3 linked regions of the Drosophila melanogaster genome follow. The protein of the gene in region 1 interacts with the protein of each later gene in a biochemical or structural test. Each region holds a gene or a part of one and is shown on either strand. Other genes may lie near its edges.

Evidence for each region.
Region 2: of the proteins of trp (region 1) and inaC, one has a biochemical effect on the other in vitro, tested with the Drosophila melanogaster proteins (2 studies listed by BioGRID).
Region 3: the proteins of trp (region 1) and inaD form a complex in vitro, tested with the Drosophila melanogaster proteins (4 studies listed by BioGRID, with this or other methods).

The regions. Positions count from the first base shown.
Region 1 is NT_033777.3:29,914,273-29,922,117, reverse strand, and holds trp (transient receptor potential), read left to right. Parts: upstream 1-1,828; 5' UTR 1,829-2,054; coding exon 2,055-2,203; intron 2,204-2,261; coding exon 2,262-2,499; intron 2,500-2,560; coding exon 2,561-2,703; intron 2,704-3,090; coding exon 3,091-3,292; coding exon of another isoform or gene 3,293-3,301; exon of another isoform or gene 3,302-3,312; intron 3,313-3,386; coding exon 3,387-3,563; intron 3,564-3,730; coding exon 3,731-3,965; intron 3,966-4,020; coding exon 4,021-4,319; intron 4,320-4,376; coding exon 4,377-4,744; intron 4,745-4,805; coding exon 4,806-5,163; intron 5,164-5,478; coding exon 5,479-5,698; intron 5,699-5,909; coding exon 5,910-6,075; intron 6,076-6,130; coding exon 6,131-6,291; intron 6,292-6,350; coding exon 6,351-6,505; intron 6,506-6,565; coding exon 6,566-7,522; 3' UTR 7,523-7,597; downstream 7,598-7,845. UniProt on the Drosophila melanogaster protein: A light-sensitive calcium channel that is required for inositide-mediated Ca(2+) entry in the retina during phospholipase C (PLC)-mediated phototransduction.
Region 2 is NT_033778.4:16,896,772-16,902,186, forward strand, and holds inaC (inactivation no afterpotential C), read left to right. Parts: upstream 1-1,763; 5' UTR 1,764-1,873; coding exon 1,874-2,151; intron 2,152-2,312; coding exon 2,313-2,344; intron 2,345-2,398; coding exon 2,399-2,593; intron 2,594-2,653; coding exon 2,654-2,782; intron 2,783-2,843; coding exon 2,844-3,000; intron 3,001-3,060; coding exon 3,061-3,289; intron 3,290-3,343; coding exon 3,344-3,741; intron 3,742-3,804; coding exon 3,805-4,006; intron 4,007-4,065; coding exon 4,066-4,254; intron 4,255-4,311; coding exon 4,312-4,452; intron 4,453-4,513; coding exon 4,514-4,666; 3' UTR 4,667-4,804; downstream 4,805-5,415. UniProt on the Drosophila melanogaster protein: This is a calcium-activated, phospholipid-dependent, serine- and threonine-specific enzyme. This isozyme is a negative regulator of the visual transduction cascade and has been shown to be required for photoreceptor cell inactivation and light adaptation.
Region 3 is NT_033778.4:22,855,179-22,860,646, forward strand, and holds inaD (inactivation no afterpotential D), read right to left. Parts: upstream 3,617-5,468; 5' UTR 3,421-3,616; coding exon 3,384-3,420; intron 3,034-3,383; coding exon 2,423-3,033; intron 2,369-2,422; coding exon 2,278-2,368; intron 2,216-2,277; coding exon 1,860-2,215; intron 1,796-1,859; coding exon 1,571-1,795; intron 1,512-1,570; coding exon 1,400-1,511; intron 1,343-1,399; coding exon 1,203-1,342; intron 1,143-1,202; coding exon 846-1,142; intron 776-845; coding exon 584-775; 3' UTR 510-583; downstream 1-509. Other genes in the region: RpL23 (ribosomal protein L23), read left to right, coding at 267-464. UniProt on the Drosophila melanogaster protein: Involved in the negative feedback regulation of the light-activated signaling cascade in photoreceptors through a calcium-mediated process.

The sequences.
Region 1 (7,845 bases):
TTAATGTCATCCAGATTACATAGGAGCAAAAAGACAAAAAATAAACAACGCAGAGGCTTGTACAGCAATATAAAAAACGTAAACTTATCAGTGTTCAATGATTTGCGAATCAGTTAAAAATACAATAAATTTAATGTTAAATACTACTCATCGGATGCAATTCATAAAATCATTTTCTACGTGGGTACATTCAATTTGTTTAAACACATAAGTATCTTATCGGTGCCATAAAGCAAATCAGCATTGATACTATAGATTTTTACGATCATGTTGAGGGCTTAGAGATATAATTTTAATACAGATGGCCATAAAATGAATTTTATCCCGCAATCTTGACGGTTTCCGGTGGGGAGACAGTGAAAGTGCAACCTGCTACGCAAACCCAGGGAAAATGAGCTCTTTCGCTTTTCTCGTGGAGAACTGAGCACATAACTCACAAGGGTCCTTAAAAGCTAAATAAGGCAGGAGTTTTGTTGGAGGCCAATGAATCATTGAGTGCAACCCAGTTGTACACTGCAGAAAATCATGTATAAACCCAACATAGCATTTAGTTAATGGGAACTTATAAGAAGAATGTGCATTTAGCCACATTTGTGTAATGAGGAGTACCTTTATATAATTACGAGAATGCCATCCAGGTATTTTCAGCTATGGCCTCTAATTAATTCGCACTTAATGAGTTCCCCTCGACAGCTGTGACTTTAATTTTGAAATTCCTTGGGCCACCATCACTTCCTTCCTCTTCTCTTGGAAGCCATGCGAGTGGAGTGTGGAGTGCATTGGCCCCGCTAAAAACCCCGTACGACTTGAACACGTACGATGCCATTCCGCCCGGAGCTCCATTGAACCCCACCTTTCGAACACACACATTCATCTCAAAGGGCTGCTCCGTGAAAGTGGGCTTGTTCCTTTTCCTTTTCTCCGCCTTTAGCCAGGAGCTGGCATTTAGTTCCAAGTGCATTGACACACAAAAGCCCTGCGAGCGCCCTGAAGTAAGCAACATTCAACATTCAAGGCTCAAGACGCTCGGCTGCCAAGGACGAGTTGGGTCTTAGATGTACACCACCCCACCTCCCCCTCCCACTTCCCATGCAGATTAATCAATATTCATCAATCACAAAGTCAGAATCACTGACCCAGTGCCCAAAAGGCATTCGAAATCATTTCAATTCGGTAGATACTCGACTGTAAACTGCAGGTGTGGTGTGTTTTCCGGCTCTGTTGGTTAGCCAAAAGCTTAAAAGCTTGCATTTTCTCCTATTTTTAAGGGCTTTTCTCGGTGAATAGTTCTAGGATATGAACCCAAGTCCATGAATCCCTATTTACTCGCAAATTAACACCCTCATGCTACTTTTTGAATATTAAGTAGCTTTGAATTTCGGCTTGAATAGGTGTCAAAAAGTATGCAAAGTGCGTATTTTTTTTTTGGGCATTGATCTATATTGCTGGGTACAAAATATTAGACACCTATTTAATTTCATATCTCAACTGTATGCATCATTTCATCGAAATATAAGCAGATAATATTGTTCCATTTAGCACGTTTTGTTTTTCACTTACATATAAACCCACTGGGCAGTATTGATTTGGATTTTCAGGCATAAAAGTGGTGCGATTCCGTTGCTGGGGCTTCGAAAATCGAAAGTCGCTCATCACGTGCAATGCAACCACAAATGGACGAAAGATTCCTGAACTGAAATCGCTAAAATCGGTTGCTGCCTCCAAATGCAGCCCCACAATTACCGAAGTGCGGTCAAATGGGCCCATTGACTCGGGGTTCGCCCACACATTGACCGAGTTTTAGCCACATTGGGCACTAATGTAATTAGTGGAATATAGCGACCCGTGGCTGCCACTTTTCAGCAGTGCAACGCGGCTAATTGGAGGCGGAACATCGCCACGATGGAACACTAAAGGATACAGTGCGCGAAAGGATTACGCCAAGGCTCCCCGAGGAGCAGGGATAAATGCCCATAGTGTTTGTGAGATGTGAAGTGACCGAGTGATCCGATCCTGATAATCGCGTTCGCATAGACCAGTAAATCAGTGCAGATATGGGCAGCAATACGGAATCCGATGCCGAGAAGGCGTTGGGGTCTCGCCTGGATTACGACCTGATGATGGCCGAGGAGTACATCCTCAGCGATGTGGAGAAGAATTTCATATTGTCCTGCGAGCGGGGTGACTTGCCAGGTGTCAAGAAGTGAGGCTTCCTCCCTATGGCTTCGAGTAACTCGGCTAATATGATTTCGTCCTTGAAGGATCCTCGAGGAGTACCAGGGCACGGACAAGTTCAACATTAACTGCACGGATCCCATGAACCGCTCCGCCCTCATTTCGGCCATCGAGAACGAGAACTTCGACCTGATGGTGATCCTGCTGGAGCATAACATCGAGGTGGGCGACGCCCTGTTGCACGCCATCTCGGAGGAGTATGTGGAGGCGGTGGAGGAGCTGCTGCAGTGGGAGGAGACCAACCACAAGGAGGGCCAGCCATACGTAGGTCACATCCTGCCGCAGAATATGCCACAACTCTTACTCTTTTCCCCTCCTTTGGCAGAGCTGGGAGGCGGTGGACCGCTCCAAGTCCACCTTCACCGTGGACATCACGCCCCTTATCCTGGCCGCCCACCGAAATAACTACGAGATACTCAAAATCCTCCTGGATCGCGGGGCCACGCTGCCCATGCCGCACGACGTCAAGTGAGTGGGGTGGTGTAGGGATGCAGTTGCTCGGTGATATGGCTATGTAGTGAGCTTCCTCGTCCTTCGAGCGGCACGTTCCATTGTTTGTCCAATTGGCAACACACTTATGTAGCACATCGCTGGGTGCCTCTAATTTTAGATAATTGCGGGCAAATTAGGGTGAAATATTAATACAGGGTGTAATGTTGTGTGTGGGAAGAGCAGGTCCTTGAATGTTCTTAAATTGGGTCAATGGACTCAAGCCTTTAACAGCGTCATAAATGTCCTTGCTAGGAGAGAAGGTCCTTTGTACTCCTTTCAGATTGATTTAAATGTATTTATTATTATAGAACTCTTGGGTTCCGTACACTTTGTATATCATCGCTTAATCTCAATTGTTTCTAGGTGCGGCTGCGATGAGTGTGTGACCTCCCAGATGACGGACTCCCTGCGCCACTCGCAGTCGAGGATCAACGCATACCGCGCCCTGTCCGCCAGCTCGCTGATAGCGCTCAGCTCCCGGGACCCTGTACTGACCGCCTTCCAATTGTCCTGGGAACTCAAGCGCCTGCAGGCGATGGAATCGGAGTTTCGTGCCGAATACACGGTACGGTAGTAGTGTGCAATGTAAGCGGTGGCCAGTGTGCCACTAGAGTCTATGCGAATGCGAATGCGAGCCTTTGTTTGTGTTTGCCCAACAGGAGATGCGTCAGATGGTGCAGGACTTCGGGACCTCGCTCCTGGATCACGCACGCACATCCATGGAACTCGAGGTGATGCTCAACTTCAACCACGAGCCGTCCCACGACATCTGGTGCCTTGGCCAGCGGCAAACCCTGGAACGACTGAAGCTGGCCATTCGCTATAAGCAAAAAACGGTGGGTTCGGACTAATCCGTGCACATTAAGGAACTGTGAAGGTTACAAGCTTGTGGCTAGATACCCATGCCTAATCCACCACAGACCAACTGGGATTTAATAGCTTTATATATAGAAACGGATCTTAGTACCCTGCTTGAATTTATAAACATTACTCCCCCTTCTAGTTTGTGGCACATCCAAATGTCCAACAATTGTTGGCCGCCATTTGGTACGACGGACTGCCGGGCTTCCGGCGCAAGCAGGCCTCCCAGCAGCTGATGGATGTCGTGAAGCTGGGATGCAGCTTCCCCATCTACAGCTTGAAGTACATCCTGGCCCCGGATTCCGAGGGTGCCAAGTTCATGCGCAAGCCCTTTGTCAAGTTCATCACGCACTCCTGCTCCTACATGTTCTTCCTGAGTGGGTAAAGTGGGTGCTTAACACTTCATCCATCTAAATATGCGCCCATTCACAGTGCTCCTGGGTGCTGCCTCCCTGAGGGTGGTGCAAATCACCTTTGAACTCCTCGCATTTCCCTGGATGCTGACCATGCTGGAGGATTGGCGCAAACACGAGAGAGGTTCACTACCGGGTCCCATTGAACTGGCAATCATTACCTACATAATGGCTCTAATATTTGAGGAACTGAAATCTTTATATTCGGACGGCTTGTTTGAGTACATCATGGATCTTTGGAACATAGTGGACTACATATCGAACATGTTCTATGTGACGTGGATTCTTTGTAGGGCCACCGCTTGGGTAATCGTCCATGTGAGTCCATATGAATCTAATGAATAAATTGGAGTTACTGAAACGAATTGATTTCAGCGTGATCTCTGGTTCCGGGGCATAGATCCTTACTTCCCAAGGGAACACTGGCATCCGTTTGATCCAATGCTTCTATCAGAGGGCGCCTTTGCTGCCGGAATGGTCTTCTCCTATCTAAAGCTCGTCCACATCTTCTCCATTAATCCCCACCTGGGACCCTTGCAAGTTTCACTGGGTCGCATGATAATCGACATCATCAAGTTCTTCTTCATCTACACACTGGTGTTGTTTGCCTTCGGATGTGGTCTCAACCAGTTGCTATGGTACTACGCTGAGCTGGAGAAGAACAAGTGCTATCACCTGCATCCCGATGTGGCTGACTTTGATGACCAGGAGAAGGCTTGTACCATCTGGCGAAGATTTTCCAAGTATATTACATTCATTTCTATGTACTTTATCATATTGGCATCCCATTTCAATTTACTTTAGCTTATTCGAAACATCACAATCGCTCTTTTGGGCCTCTTTTGGCCTGGTGGACCTGGTCTCCTTCGATCTGGCGGGAATCAAGAGCTTCACCCGCTTCTGGGCACTGCTAATGTTCGGCTCCTATTCGGTTATCAACATCATTGTGCTTCTCAACATGCTGATTGCCATGATGTCCAACTCCTACCAAATCATCTCGGAGCGAGCCGACACTGAGTGGAAGTTCGCCCGATCCCAGCTGTGGATGAGCTACTTCGAGGATGGCGGCACCATTCCACCGCCCTTCAACCTCTGTCCCAACATGAAGATGTTGAGGAAGACCCTGGGCCGAAAGCGACCGTCACGAACCAAGAGCTTCATGGTAAGTTACACTCAGAGAAATTCAATATTTCAGTTTAAGTATTATACAAATCCACACATATATATTAAATTCAGTGTACTCTACTTTTAAATGATATTTCTTATCATATTACTTTTAAATGTAAGTAACATTTCGAAAGTTCGATTTTTTCAAGTTGAATCACCTCACAGTGAGAGGCGGCTCACAATCAATACAAATCTTAAGCGAAATCATTTTCAATCAAGCCCATGCAGAGCTATCTGTGCGTCAAATTGACGTCTAATACATCCTTTCTGTGTCCTTCCACCCTCTAATGCTCCCTGTTCCAACTCCCAGCGAAAGTCCATGGAACGGGCACAGACGCTGCATGACAAAGTGATGAAGCTGCTGGTCAGGAGGTACATTACGGCGGAGCAGAGGCGGCGGGACGATTACGGCATTACCGAGGATGATATCATTGAGGTGCGCCAGGACATCAGCTCCTTGCGGTTCGAGTTGCTGGAGATTTTCACCAACAATAACTGGGATGTACCCGACATTGAGAAGAAGTCGCAGGGTAAGGGAAGCCTACCCACATCCAAATTGGCAACTTACACGTGTCTTAAGATAGAAGTAGCAGTATATATGAATAATTATTTACAATTAGCTTTTGAATACCTAATAAAGTTCACCCCATCTTGAATATTAATTTGAAATATGTTGTGCTAGAAGACTACAAAGCTAGAATGGATTTTAATGGATTTTATTCACTAAACTTACTTTTGAAGGAGTTGCTCGAACCACCAAGGGCAAGGTGATGGAACGTCGCATCCTTAAGGACTTCCAAATCGGCTTCGTCGAGAATCTGAAGCAGGAAATGAGCGAATCTGAGAGCGGACGAGATATATTCTCATCGCTGGCCAAGGTCATCGGCAGAAAGAAGACCCAGAAGGGGTAGGTCCACTTAAATCTGTAAGACGCTTTGAATAATGGTTATTATTCTCAACAGAGACAAGGATTGGAACGCCATTGCGAGGAAGAATACTTTCGCCTCCGATCCCATTGGCTCCAAGCGCTCCTCCATGCAACGTCATAGCCAGCGAAGCTTGAGGAGGAAGATCATCGAGCAGGCGAATGAGGGTCTTCAGATGAACCAGACCCAGTTGATTGGTAAATTAATAAAGATGTGCCCAATGTATGTATATTTCCATACCCTTGATCTCCTCCAGAATTCAATCCCAACTTGGGTGATGTGACGCGTGCCACAAGAGTGGCTTATGTCAAGTTCATGCGGAAGAAGATGGCTGCCGACGAGGTTTCCTTGGCCGATGACGAGGGTGCTCCAAATGGCGAAGGCGAAAAGAAGCCACTGGATGCCTCTGGGGTACGTTCCAATCAATATATGTATATGTATTCCCTGGCTAATATATAATCTCACTTGCAGTCTAAAAAGTCCATAACTAGTGGTGGAACTGGAGGAGGAGCTTCTATGTTGGCTGCAGCTGCTCTAAGAGCATCGGTTAAGAATGTGGATGAAAAATCCGGAGCCGATGGCAAGCCCGGCACGATGGGCAAGCCAACGGATGACAAGAAAGCAGGTGATGATAAGGATAAGCAGCAGCCTCCCAAGGACTCCAAGCCGTCAGCAGGTGGTCCCAAGCCCGGGGATCAGAAGCCAACTCCGGGTGCGGGAGCTCCAAAGCCCCAAGCAGCTGGCACTATCAGCAAGCCCGGTGAGTCACAAAAGAAGGACGCTCCGGCACCACCAACCAAACCTGGAGACACCAAGCCTGCTGCGCCGAAGCCTGGAGAATCCGCCAAGCCCGAGGCCGCTGCCAAAAAGGAGGAGTCTTCCAAGACCGAAGCTAGCAAGCCGGCAGCCACAAATGGAGCAGCCAAGAGCGCAGCTCCCTCCGCTCCTTCGGATGCCAAGCCGGATTCCAAACTGAAACCTGGAGCAGCTGGAGCACCAGAAGCAACTAAGGCAACCAATGGGGCCTCCAAGCCGGACGAAAAGAAGAGCGGTCCGGAGGAGCCAAAAAAGGCTGCAGGAGACTCCAAGCCAGGAGACGATGCCAAGGACAAGGATAAGAAACCCGGCGACGATAAGGACAAGAAACCTGGCGACGACAAAGACAAGAAACCTGCTGACAATAATGATAAGAAGCCAGCCGATGACAAGGACAAGAAGCCGGGAGACGATAAGGACAAGAAGCCGGGTGACGACAAGGACAAGAAGCCGAGCGATGATAAGGACAAGAAGCCTGCCGATGACAAGGACAAGAAGCCAGCAGCAGCTCCTCTGAAGCCGGCGATCAAGGTGGGTCAGAGCAGTGCCGCAGCTGGCGGAGAACGAGGCAAATCCACGGTCACAGGACGCATGATCTCCGGCTGGCTCTAAGCCGCGGAATCCACTTTCATAGCAATTAAATAGTTAAGTCCTTTGTTTGTGTGAATAATAAAAAAAAAGAATCTCAAGTACCACGTTTCTGCAACTTGTTGCTAAAGGCCACCTGTTGCCAGCAACATCTCATTTGCATCGCAGCAACATTCATCATCCGCCCCGTTGTTCCGATGGCAATTTGTTTGTCTGCCATCCATCCGCCTGCTTTTCTGGCCTATAAAAGAACGTGAACTTCGACCAGAGGAATCAGAAGAACCGTGACCGTTCCGAGGATAACATCAGACCGAAAAACATATTCGCCAAGCCAGTGTTTCGTCCTA
Region 2 (5,415 bases), on another chromosome or scaffold:
GTAAAGCTAAACAAAAATGTGTTATACGCTGAGAGGCGGCTCTCTGGCTCTTTGCGGCTTGGCCTGCTTTTGTGAAATGGCCAAGAGGGAAAAATGGAGGGGAAAATTGTTTGGCGACGCCATGGAAATGATGACGTAAATTGAAAGCCAAAGCTGCCACGGCAACGAAATCTATTTGCAATTCCCTCTGCTCGCCGAAACCCCCTTGTCAATGCCTTTCAACCGACAGGTGTGCAGTTCTGTAGTTCTGGGCAATCTGCGAGTGCATATTTGTCGACTCACTGAGTGCACTTCTGAGATACAGATACGCGTGCCGCTGCAGATACTTAGATACTTTGACTTGGACCTGCTTTAATGGCATTTTTCCCCGACAAAGGTCCTACATTTCCGCTTTAATGCATTTTCCAACCCATTTCATCGCTGCTTTCGGTAGCGTTTTTAGTTGTTTCAGCTTGGATTTCAGCTAACCGCTTTTATTTTGTATTTTGTTTGCCTTGCCAGCCAGCGTGTCCTTCTGTGTCCTGTGTGCACTTTGTGCTCAATTCTGCGTTTTCTATTTCTATTTTTAGCCCTGCACTGAAAGCCAGCTGGCTTGCAGGGGCGGCGCTTAAATGGGGGGTTCTTTCACGGAAAACGTGCCCTGCCAGCAATTGCATAAATTAATCAAAACTGCCACACAGTATAAATACTCAATCGACAATAGTCACACATACACACACACACACACATAGAAGCTTTCGCACATCACCATTTTCCGAAACCCCTTCGCCCACTTTTCCAATTTTATTGCATTGACGTCACAGCTGCAGTTGTCCGGAGCAATGGCTCCGATGATGATTATGTTTGTCTTCTGGCCAGGTAAGCACCTTCTTGACCTTTCCCAAGCTGTTTACACTTATCGCTGGTAAGGGCCCAAAGACGAGAGTTCTTGGCTTTCACTCTTCGGTCCTCCGTTCGATTGACGGGACGTCGTTGAGTGCTTTTTCCTGGGGGACAATTGCGATGGGGGCTAACTGCCGAACTAACTGAATCAGCGTGGATAAGTGCTGATTACCCAGGCATAGAGCAAATGGTTGCATGGCAACTTGTGTAAGATCTATAGGGACTAGTAGTAAGGATGCTTTGGACATGACATTCATTGTTATGAAATGGTTAAAAGCATTAAATTTGACTTTTAAAATGCGCACACATATATTAAGTACCTAGAAATTGACAGAAATTAATCATACAAAGTCTCAAATATTACACAATTGTTTAACACCGATTTACGCTAACAAAGGCACAATTTAATTGTGGTAAATAGTTCCACAAATGTCCGATTTTAAATAATTAAAAAAACATGCAATAAAGAGGCTATAAAATATTATTCACTTTGATATGTGCATAATTAACGTTTAATATTCGTGTGTTTACTCACACATATTTTATTTTCTTTTAGCTGCTTTACATGTGCAGAAATAATTTTAAATCAGAAGGGTATTTTTCTGAAACATTTCTCTTATGGTTTTTTTTTGATATGTATGAGCAGTATTATGTTGTATTTATATTACATTTTTTATTCAGTCTACACAAATATAATGAGATATGGATAAGGAGGTTTCTATAAGCTAGGAACAAATACATATTTGGAAAATTTATGAATGAAATTACGTCTTATGCACTATTGCATAAGTCCAAACTGTCGCCCGTTTGCATCACTCTGTGTCATTTTCTTGCCTTCAACTTTGTGTGTGCACTTTGTTGGCTTCCAAGTTGCTTCTTTTAGGGTCTTCACCTGACCGACCGGGTCAGTTTCTAGACGGGCTTGAAACCGTACGGTCTGAGTCAGCTTTTTCTCTTCACTAGCTATCCAATTCCCTGACATTATCTTTTAATGGCTGCGGCTGCTGTTGCCACACCGGGGGCCACTGTGCTCCCTCCCTCGGTGCCCAGTGCCGCTCCAGGGGCCAAGGCTCCAGCGGCTGGAGCTGGCAAAGGTCCAGGAAATCTACTGGAGATCACTGGCGAAGCAAATATCGTCAACTATATGAAGAATCGTCTAAGGAAGGGTGCGATGAAGCGAAAGGGTCTCGAAATGGTCAATGGTCATCGTTTCGGAGTTAGATTCTTTAAGAATCCAACCTACTGCGGTCATTGCAAGGATTTCATCTGGTGAGAAATTTCGTTTTCGGTTTTTGCTGGCATCTCAGCGTTCCCATCGTTAATTTAATTAGTGCCTTCGTTGCTGACACACTTTTCGTTGTTTTTTCTATATTTTTTTCGCTGTTCTTCCGTTTCGCATTGTTGCATTCGCGGATTCGTGCCGGGATTAGGGGCTTTGGCAAGCAAGGTTTTCAGTGCGAGGGTAGGTAGAAATGTTCACAATTTAAAAAATCTTTTAAAATATTTGCATACGCAGAATGCCGCTTCAACATTCACCAGAAGTGCTGTAAATTTGTGGTGTTCAAATGTCCTGGCAAGGACACGGACTTCGATGCCGACTGCGCTAAGGTGAAGCACGGCTGGATTTCCACCACCTACACCACACCGACATTCTGCGACGAGTGCGGACTGCTGCTCCATGGAGTCGCCCATCAGGGCGTCAAGTGCGAGAGTAAATTCCTGAATAAACTCGAGTCCTATTGCTTTCAAGCTATTAACCCAAATATTTCAGATTGCAACCTAAATGTGCATCACGCCTGCCAGGAGACAGTGCCACCGATGTGTGGTGCGGACATCAGCGAGGTGAGGGGTAAACTACTGCTATACGTCGAGCTTAAGGGCAATAACTTGAAAGTTGATAGTAAGTTATTACTTAAAGTTTATATGCCCATATAAAGATTAATGTTTCTTTCATACTGCAGTTAAGGAGGCAGCTAACCTCATTCCCATGGATACCAACGGGTTTAGCGATCCCTATATTGCAGTGCAAATGCATCCGGACCGTTCGGGGCGCACCAAAAAGAAGACCAAGACCATTCAGAAAAACCTCAATCCAGTGTTCAACGAGACTTTTACTTTGTAATAGTTGAAAACTAATCCTCTAAATAGACCTCTTTACCATATTTTCTTTAATCCTAGTGAGTTGCAGCCGCAGGACCGTGACAAGCGTTTGCTCATCGAGGTTTGGGATTGGGATCGAACTTCTCGCAATGATTTCATGGGATCGTTCTCGTTCAGCCTGGAGGAACTGCAAAAGGAGCCAGTTGATGGCTGGTATAAGTTTCTGTCGCAAGTGGAGGGTGAACATTATAACATACCCTGTGTGGATGCCTTTAATGATATAGCTCGCTTAAGGGATGAAGTTAGGGTAAGCGGATGTCCTCACCAAGTTTGCCACATATTTAATATTCCTGATTTTCAGCACGATCGTCGTCCGAATGAAAAGCGTCGCATGGACAACAAGGATATGCCGCATAATATGAGCAAACGCGATATGATTCGAGCTGCTGATTTCAACTTTGTTAAAGTTATTGGCAAGGGATCCTTTGGCAAAGTCCTGCTGGCCGAGCGTCGTGGCACGGATGAGCTGTATGCCGTGAAGGTCCTGCGAAAGGATGTCATTATCCAAACGGACGATATGGAGCTGCCAATGAATGAGAAGAAAATTCTAGCCCTATCCGGACGTCCTCCTTTCCTCGTCTCCATGCACTCATGTTTCCAGACTATGGACCGATTATTCTTCGTAATGGAGTACTGTAAGGGTGGAGATCTTATGTACCATATGCAGCAGTATGGAAGGTTCAAGGAGTCTGTGGCTATGTGAGTACAAATATTTATATTCAAGTACCATATTTTGAAATCTTCTATATATTATGTGCTTAGTTTTTACGCTGTGGAAGTGGCTATTGCTCTGTTTTTCCTCCACGAGCGTGATATTATCTATAGAGATCTAAAGCTGGACAACATTTTGCTGGATGGTGAGGGGCATGTAAAGCTGGTCGACTTTGGATTGAGCAAAGAGGGCGTTACCGAGCGGCAGACCACACGAACCTTTTGTGGTACTCCAAATTATATGGCTCCCGAAGTAAGTAAATCAGCCGAAAAAAATAAGTGTAAAAATAATCAGCTTAAAAATAATTTAAGATTGTTAGCTACGATCCGTATTCCATCGCCGCTGATTGGTGGTCTTTTGGTGTATTGCTTTTCGAATTCATGGCAGGTCAGGCTCCATTCGAAGGAGATGATGAAACTACTGTCTTTAGGAACATAAAGGACAAGAAGGCGGTGTTTCCAAAGCATTTCAGCGTGGAGGCCATGGATATAATAACGAGCGTAAGTGTTGGATTTCAAAAACATATGAATCTAATGGTATAGATTTGTATTCCAAAGTTCCTGACCAAAAAGCCCAACAATAGATTGGGTGCAGGCCGCTATGCCAGACAGGAGATTACCACGCATCCTTTCTTCCGGAATGTGGACTGGGATAAGGCAGAGGCATGCGAAATGGAGCCACCTATTAAGCCAATGATTGTAAGCTAAAACAGGAGCCCCACTAGGAAATCATTTTATTGTAATCTTGGGTACATTTCAGAAACATCGCAAGGATATAAGCAACTTTGATGATGCCTTTACCAAGGAGAAGACGGACTTAACTCCAACGGACAAGCTTTTTATGATGAATTTGGACCAGAACGATTTTATCGGATTTTCTTTCATGAATCCCGAGTTTATAACCATCATTTAAAATGGTCTAAAAAAAAGCTTTGAGAAAAGTTTATAGGCTTCTTCGAAAAACTAGGCTTTTGCAAGTTAATTTACCGAAATTTATTTATTGTATCCTTCGCTAAAAGCCATCTAAATGTTCATTAAAGCTTTAACGCTTAAAGCTCTGATATTTAGTGGGTGGATTTTTCTTTTGGCTTTCTCTCTTTTAAGAGACAGCTTTTCACCACTAACATTAACATTTCCTCTGAAGCCCAGATAGTAAAAGAAAACAGAGAAAGTTCCGGACCAGCAGCTGATTGCTTTCTCTTTCTCTCTTTTCGGAAGGGGAAATCCTTTTGTGGAAACTCACCACTCGAGAGCACCTGAATTAGTTACGCATACGCCGCGTGTGCTCCACTCAAGGAAACCCTGACAGGAAGTTTCAAGATTGCCAGTGGGCTAACTAGCCAACTTTGGTTAAAATCTAAACTCATCAACAGGCTTGAAAGTTTTTAGTTATGTATGTCGAATTTCAAAGTTGCTCACAAGGCCACAACTTATTGCCGTTCATGTGGGTATGATGAAAATTCTTCGAACATTTTTGCCCAAATCCATCTTGCGGGTCGAGCGTAAAATTCAACGGGGTGAAAAGCGGTTTAACGGGTCGCCAAATAGTTTTCCTGTGCCAGGGCAAATATGTCTTATGACACATTTTAATATGAAATTTCACTACCGGGAATTCCCCGGATATTTTTAATTTGGGGCGCTCATCTAATCGACTGTCAAAAG
Region 3 (5,468 bases), on another chromosome or scaffold:
AGGTTTCTCCTTACGCTTCCAATAAATTTTCCCCACATGTTTTGTGCCGGCTAAGATAGCTTATCGCACCAAACTCACGTTTTTAATATTTTTGTTTATTGATAAGAATTTAAAATTGTAGTGAAGAAGGTTTATAAAACGGTTTCACTGCACTTCTCATAATTCCCCCACCTATAACAACGCACTTTTGCATAACTAACCGATGCAGCAGGAGGTTTGCACACTGCCGAGCAACTTTGCTAACTACTATTTTCATTTGTTTCCAGGTCATGCCTGCCGTGGTTATTCGGCAGCGCAAACCGTTCAGGAGGAGGGACGGGGTGTTTATATACTTTGAGGACAATGCCGGGGTAATAGTAAACAACAAGGGCGAAATGAAGGGCTCGGCCATCACTGGACCGGTGGCCAAGGAATGCGCCGATCTGTGGCCCCGTATTGCATCCAATGCAAGCTCTATAGCCTAAGGAGTTTCCTTTTCAATAAACCCACAACGGAAAACAGATTGTTTTGAATTCGAATTGTTGGTTCTTTTATTGAATTGCTGCACTGCTTCGCTACCGGAGGAGGAGAATGAGGATCGTCTCTAGGCCTTGGGTGCCTCCGTACGTAGAGTGGGCTTGGGTCGTGTCACTTCCATCGATACCTTGCCGTTGGCTCCCTTGAACAAGGCGTAGCACACCTGGAACGGAAGACCCTCCAAGGCATCGCCATTGAATTTGGTGATAATATCGCCGCGCTGCAGTTTGCTGTCTATCTCCGGGTATTGTCCTTGAATCTGTCGAGAAAGTAGTTACTTAGGGTTGAGCCTTCCTACCACTGTATACCAGTGGTGTATGTGCACTCACCAAGTCCGCGATGGTACATCCAATTTCGTTGGGAGAAAGCGACAGGCCCAGCTCCTTGCCTGCTTTTTTCATAAGGTCAACGTTAAACTTTTCCAGCTCCGGAGGATCAGCGCGGAAGACCGTTAGGGTGACCGCTTTCTCGTATGTGGTGTGGAATAACTGATGGACCTTCAGTGTCGTCATGGATCCCACGTGGATTGGCGTACCATTTATATCGCAAATGTGGTCAAAGATCTTGAGGCGCTTGTCGGCTGCCACTTGTCCCTCCGGATAAACGTGGGTGATTACACAGCCAGTCTGTCAGGGAAAAGTTGTTTAAGGTACTTCTTGCAGAAACAGAAAGTTCAGATAGCCCACCGTGACATGGTTGTTCTTGCCGCCGCAGACGATGACGCCCATTGGCTTCTTTTCCACCTTCAACTCAATGAGTATCTTTTTGTTCGGCTTGATCTCGGCTGTGGCGGGTTCCTGTGGCTTTTCCTCCTCTTTCTTGGCCTCTGTGAGTTATCGGGATGAAGATGTCAGTTTTGAACTTGCTTGGACGCAATACCTACCCTCCTTCTTTTTCTCTTCCGCCGCCTTCTCAGCCTTTATCGCCTCCTCGCTCTTGAGAGTCAATAGAATCATGGTCACTACGCCCTCGGCACGTTTAAGCAGTCCAGTAGCCTGAAGTGGATATGAAATGGTTTTAAACTAAGTGGTTGGAGGGCTTCCTGACGACTCACATCATCGTAGTTGGATTCCAGTGTTACATCCTGATTAACGGCCAGCAGCATGTCGCCCACTTTCACGCCCGCCAACTCGGCATTCGATCCCTCTCTCAGATCCGAGATGAAAATGCCACTTCCCACCTCAGCGTGCTTGCCATAGATGACCATGATGCCCAGGAAACCCTCCTTGCGCACCTGCACCGTGCGCGCCTTGGGAAACTGGTCGAAGATAAACTTAGTCTGGAATAGAAGGGAAGGACATTTTATCGCAGGATCCATCCGAAAAGAAGTGAAAAGTACGGACCTCATCAGACGCGGTGGGGAACTTCTTGATGGGCTTGACGCACATGCCCTCATCGTTGGGCTTGCGTCGCGAGGTGATCATCACGAGCTTATCCCCATCCACGTTCTTGAACACGGCGGAAGCGTTCAAGTGGCAGCGATTCTTCAGCACATTGCCGTTGACCTCGACGATCTCGTCGCCCGGTTTGATGTCCACGCTACCCAATGCTCCGTTGGGATCCACACCGGCAACAAAGCAGGCCATCTTCTGGCGGTCCTTGTGGCCAGCGAGTGCGAGTCCCAGTGGCTTGCTGGCGTCCCTCTGGACCTCGATCCTGCGCAGATCCTTCATCATGTTGTACCGCTTGTTGATCTTAGCTGGGAATGGCATTCACGTGCTGTGTGACTGACATTTTTTAATGGCTTCAATTGAGTCTTACCCATCGTGTAGCCAAATTCATCTTCCTGCTCCTTGTCGCGATCCTTTTCCTGCTTGTTGAGTTTGCAATTACCGGCGGATGCTCGATCGATCTAAGGTACTTATAAGTTAGTAGAGCGATGGGTGGCGACCTTGGGTTAACCCACCTCATAACCCGCCTCCGTGCGAATGCGACCGGTCATGTCCCGGGTGTCCTCGTCATCCTCGTCGGCGTAGTTACTATGCTTCTGACGCATCGAGGCCGTGAATGTGGTATTCCGCTTCTGCATCGATTGCTGCCGGTTCATGCCAGCCATTCCCTGACCCTGACCCTGACCTTGCCCCATTCCCTGACCTCCGGACGCATTGTTGTTGGTGGTCTGCTCCTGGTTGAACTTGTTCTTGGCCTGCATGTAGCCATTGCTCCGCGGATCTGACTTGGCCTGCTGCTCATCGCTCTTGTCGAAGGTCTGAATCTCCAGTTCGATCTTGAAGTCCGCCTCCTTGATGAGATCGATGACCGCCTGTTCGGTGGAGTTGCGCACATCCTTTCCGTTGAGCGAGAGGATCCGATCGCCAACCTTTAGGCGACCACACAGATGCGCGGGACTGTCGGGCACAATGCCCTTGATGAAGATGCCGGTGGTCTTGGTGTTGGGCGAATCCTTCACCTCGCCGCGCACTATGCAGATGCCGAAGGACTTCTTGCCCGTCTTGTCCAGGGTCACCATGTGAATGAGCTCTGGGAAAGGATTGTGCATTCCAAATGAAATAAAAACTATTTACAACGTATTGTTAAAGTACGACTAAGACAAATGTGAAGCTATTACTAATAAATATTTATTGGGGTCCTTATCCCACTTGGTATCCTTTCGCAAAATAATTTTCACCAATATTGTATAATCGTTTATATAAATGTTAAGGTTAAGTTCATTACATAAACATATTTCTCACAGGATTCTTAAGAATCAATAAAGTCAATTGAATTGGCTTTTGTTCAAATTTTGTTTTATTTGATTCATAAAACACAAAACGAGTATTGAGTGACCTTTGGAAGGTCAAGTTCTTTCGGGACTAGCTGCAAATTTGATTAGCAGTTGGTCATGAAACCACTCAATGGACACTGACCACCCGCGGTGCCCTGTTTGCCCAGGAACTGAACCATCCTCGCTGCTTGAGATCGACTGCTCCGTAATCCTAGCCAAAAACTCGCGACTCACTGACCGGACATTAAGCGCACCGAATTAAGCTCAAATGTAATATCGAATATTTATTGTTATGGGTTTTCACTTAATTATTATTTGTGAATATTCCGCGTTGGCTGCGCCCGATTTGAGTCCATTGAAAAGTGCGCCTAAACTGATTTTACAATTAGCGGGCGAACATTCTTGCTAACTGACTTAGTGGCCATTCTATTTTGAGTATGATTTTCGTATCGATTACACTGGTCAGCAGGGTTGATCTTAGAGTACCAGATGCATGTAGTTCATACATATATGCTAAGACACTTTCACAAACTTTCCTTCTAAAGAATGCTTGAGTAAAAGAAAAATTCTACTAATAATAATGAAAATGTTTCGTATCTTGAGATTACCCATTAAAATATTACCTTGCAGTACAGTGCTATCGATTCGGAGGAGGTGCCTCCAATGAATTGAGTAACTTTCACTGTCTGTTATGACACCACTCACAAAACACCCAGCTCCCCGAAGACGGCCATTATATGGGTTACCATCGCGGATGTGAAGGCTAGGGGAAAATGGATACCCATGTACCTTTATTGGCCCTATCAAGTTATTAATTTGTTGGTACGATTTGGCCCGTGCTGAACTCAACACTCCGCCAGGAGAAGCCCACCAAGTGTTGACCAGCAATGCCCATCGATTTTATATTTTTCTTTCATTGCACTTACAACTGAATAACATATGTCTCACACACTTTTACCTGGGCGAGAGCTTCTATATCGGCACTGCAAATAACAACAATTTGTGGGGGACATTTTTAAAACATATAATATCCTTAATAAAAAAACAATAATAAAATGCGCACAAAATACCGAAGAATAAAGAGTAAATAAATATAAAATGTAAGGTGACAATGATATGATATTGAATATGAACTGTATATATTCAGTATCAATAATATAGCCCCAAAAAGTAGGCAACAATTTCAATGCGAATTGGTAAGGATTGCTGGGGAACTTCTGAACCAGACACAAGCGGTAATCAAATAAAACTTTCAAGATTTTTATCTTTCGAGTGGCAAATAAATTTAATTTGTCTGCCGAGCTTAAATTCATAATCAAGATTTGCATTTTAATGCCTTTGTCGGGGGGAAAGGCGGTATGAAAAAAGGAAACTGGAGGCAGGGAAGGGAGAATATGACTATGCAAACATTTCCCGAACATTGCCCGAACGGAATGAAACGAAAGTGGAATGGCTAAGGCAGCTCCAAAGGAAAACTAGAGTAAACACATGCTCAAAGGAGCTGGGCGCAAAATGGGGTTTAAACTGGAAAATGGCGAACCCAACGGAGAGTGGGAGTGAGAGCGATGGGAGTGGAACGTCAACGACTGCGAAACGATGCTGGAAATTAATTTCATAATAAAAAAGCGTAAGGAAACCCATTTGATAAAACAATTTCCTTTTTGCCTCCCAACAGTCATGTTTTGTTAGTAAAGTAAATTCAAAAGAGAGCACAGCGAAAATATGGCAATGAGCTTAACGCTGCCGCCCCCTTTTCCACCTCTTCCCCCAGCCCCGCCCCGCTCTCTCCTCGTCCCTTGCAGCCTCTGCCGCTGCCGACGTCGCTGTTCGCAAGACCTCGCCCTCCGATTGGCTCTCTGGCCGCAGGCCACGCCCCTGCAATGGCTGCTTTGTGCCGTGTCCTTTTCGGCTGTTCCGCTCTCTGTTTCTCTCTCTCCTTCTCTCTCTCTCTCTCTCTGTCCGCTCCTGCAGAAGTCGTGCTGCTGCGGCGCAGTCGGCGCATGGTTGTTGCGGGGATTTAGTTAACTGAAGTGATTTTCCACTGTTGGCTGTCACACAGGCAAACACACTCACACACATACACCCACTCGTCCTTATGTAAGTGGCCACACGTGTCTGTGTGTGTGTGTGTGTGTGTGTGTGTGCAGGCGAATCCGTTGTTGACTTGTTCTCGTGTTGTACTTACATGCAGTTATATCAAATTGCTAATAATCGTTTAGCAGGCACT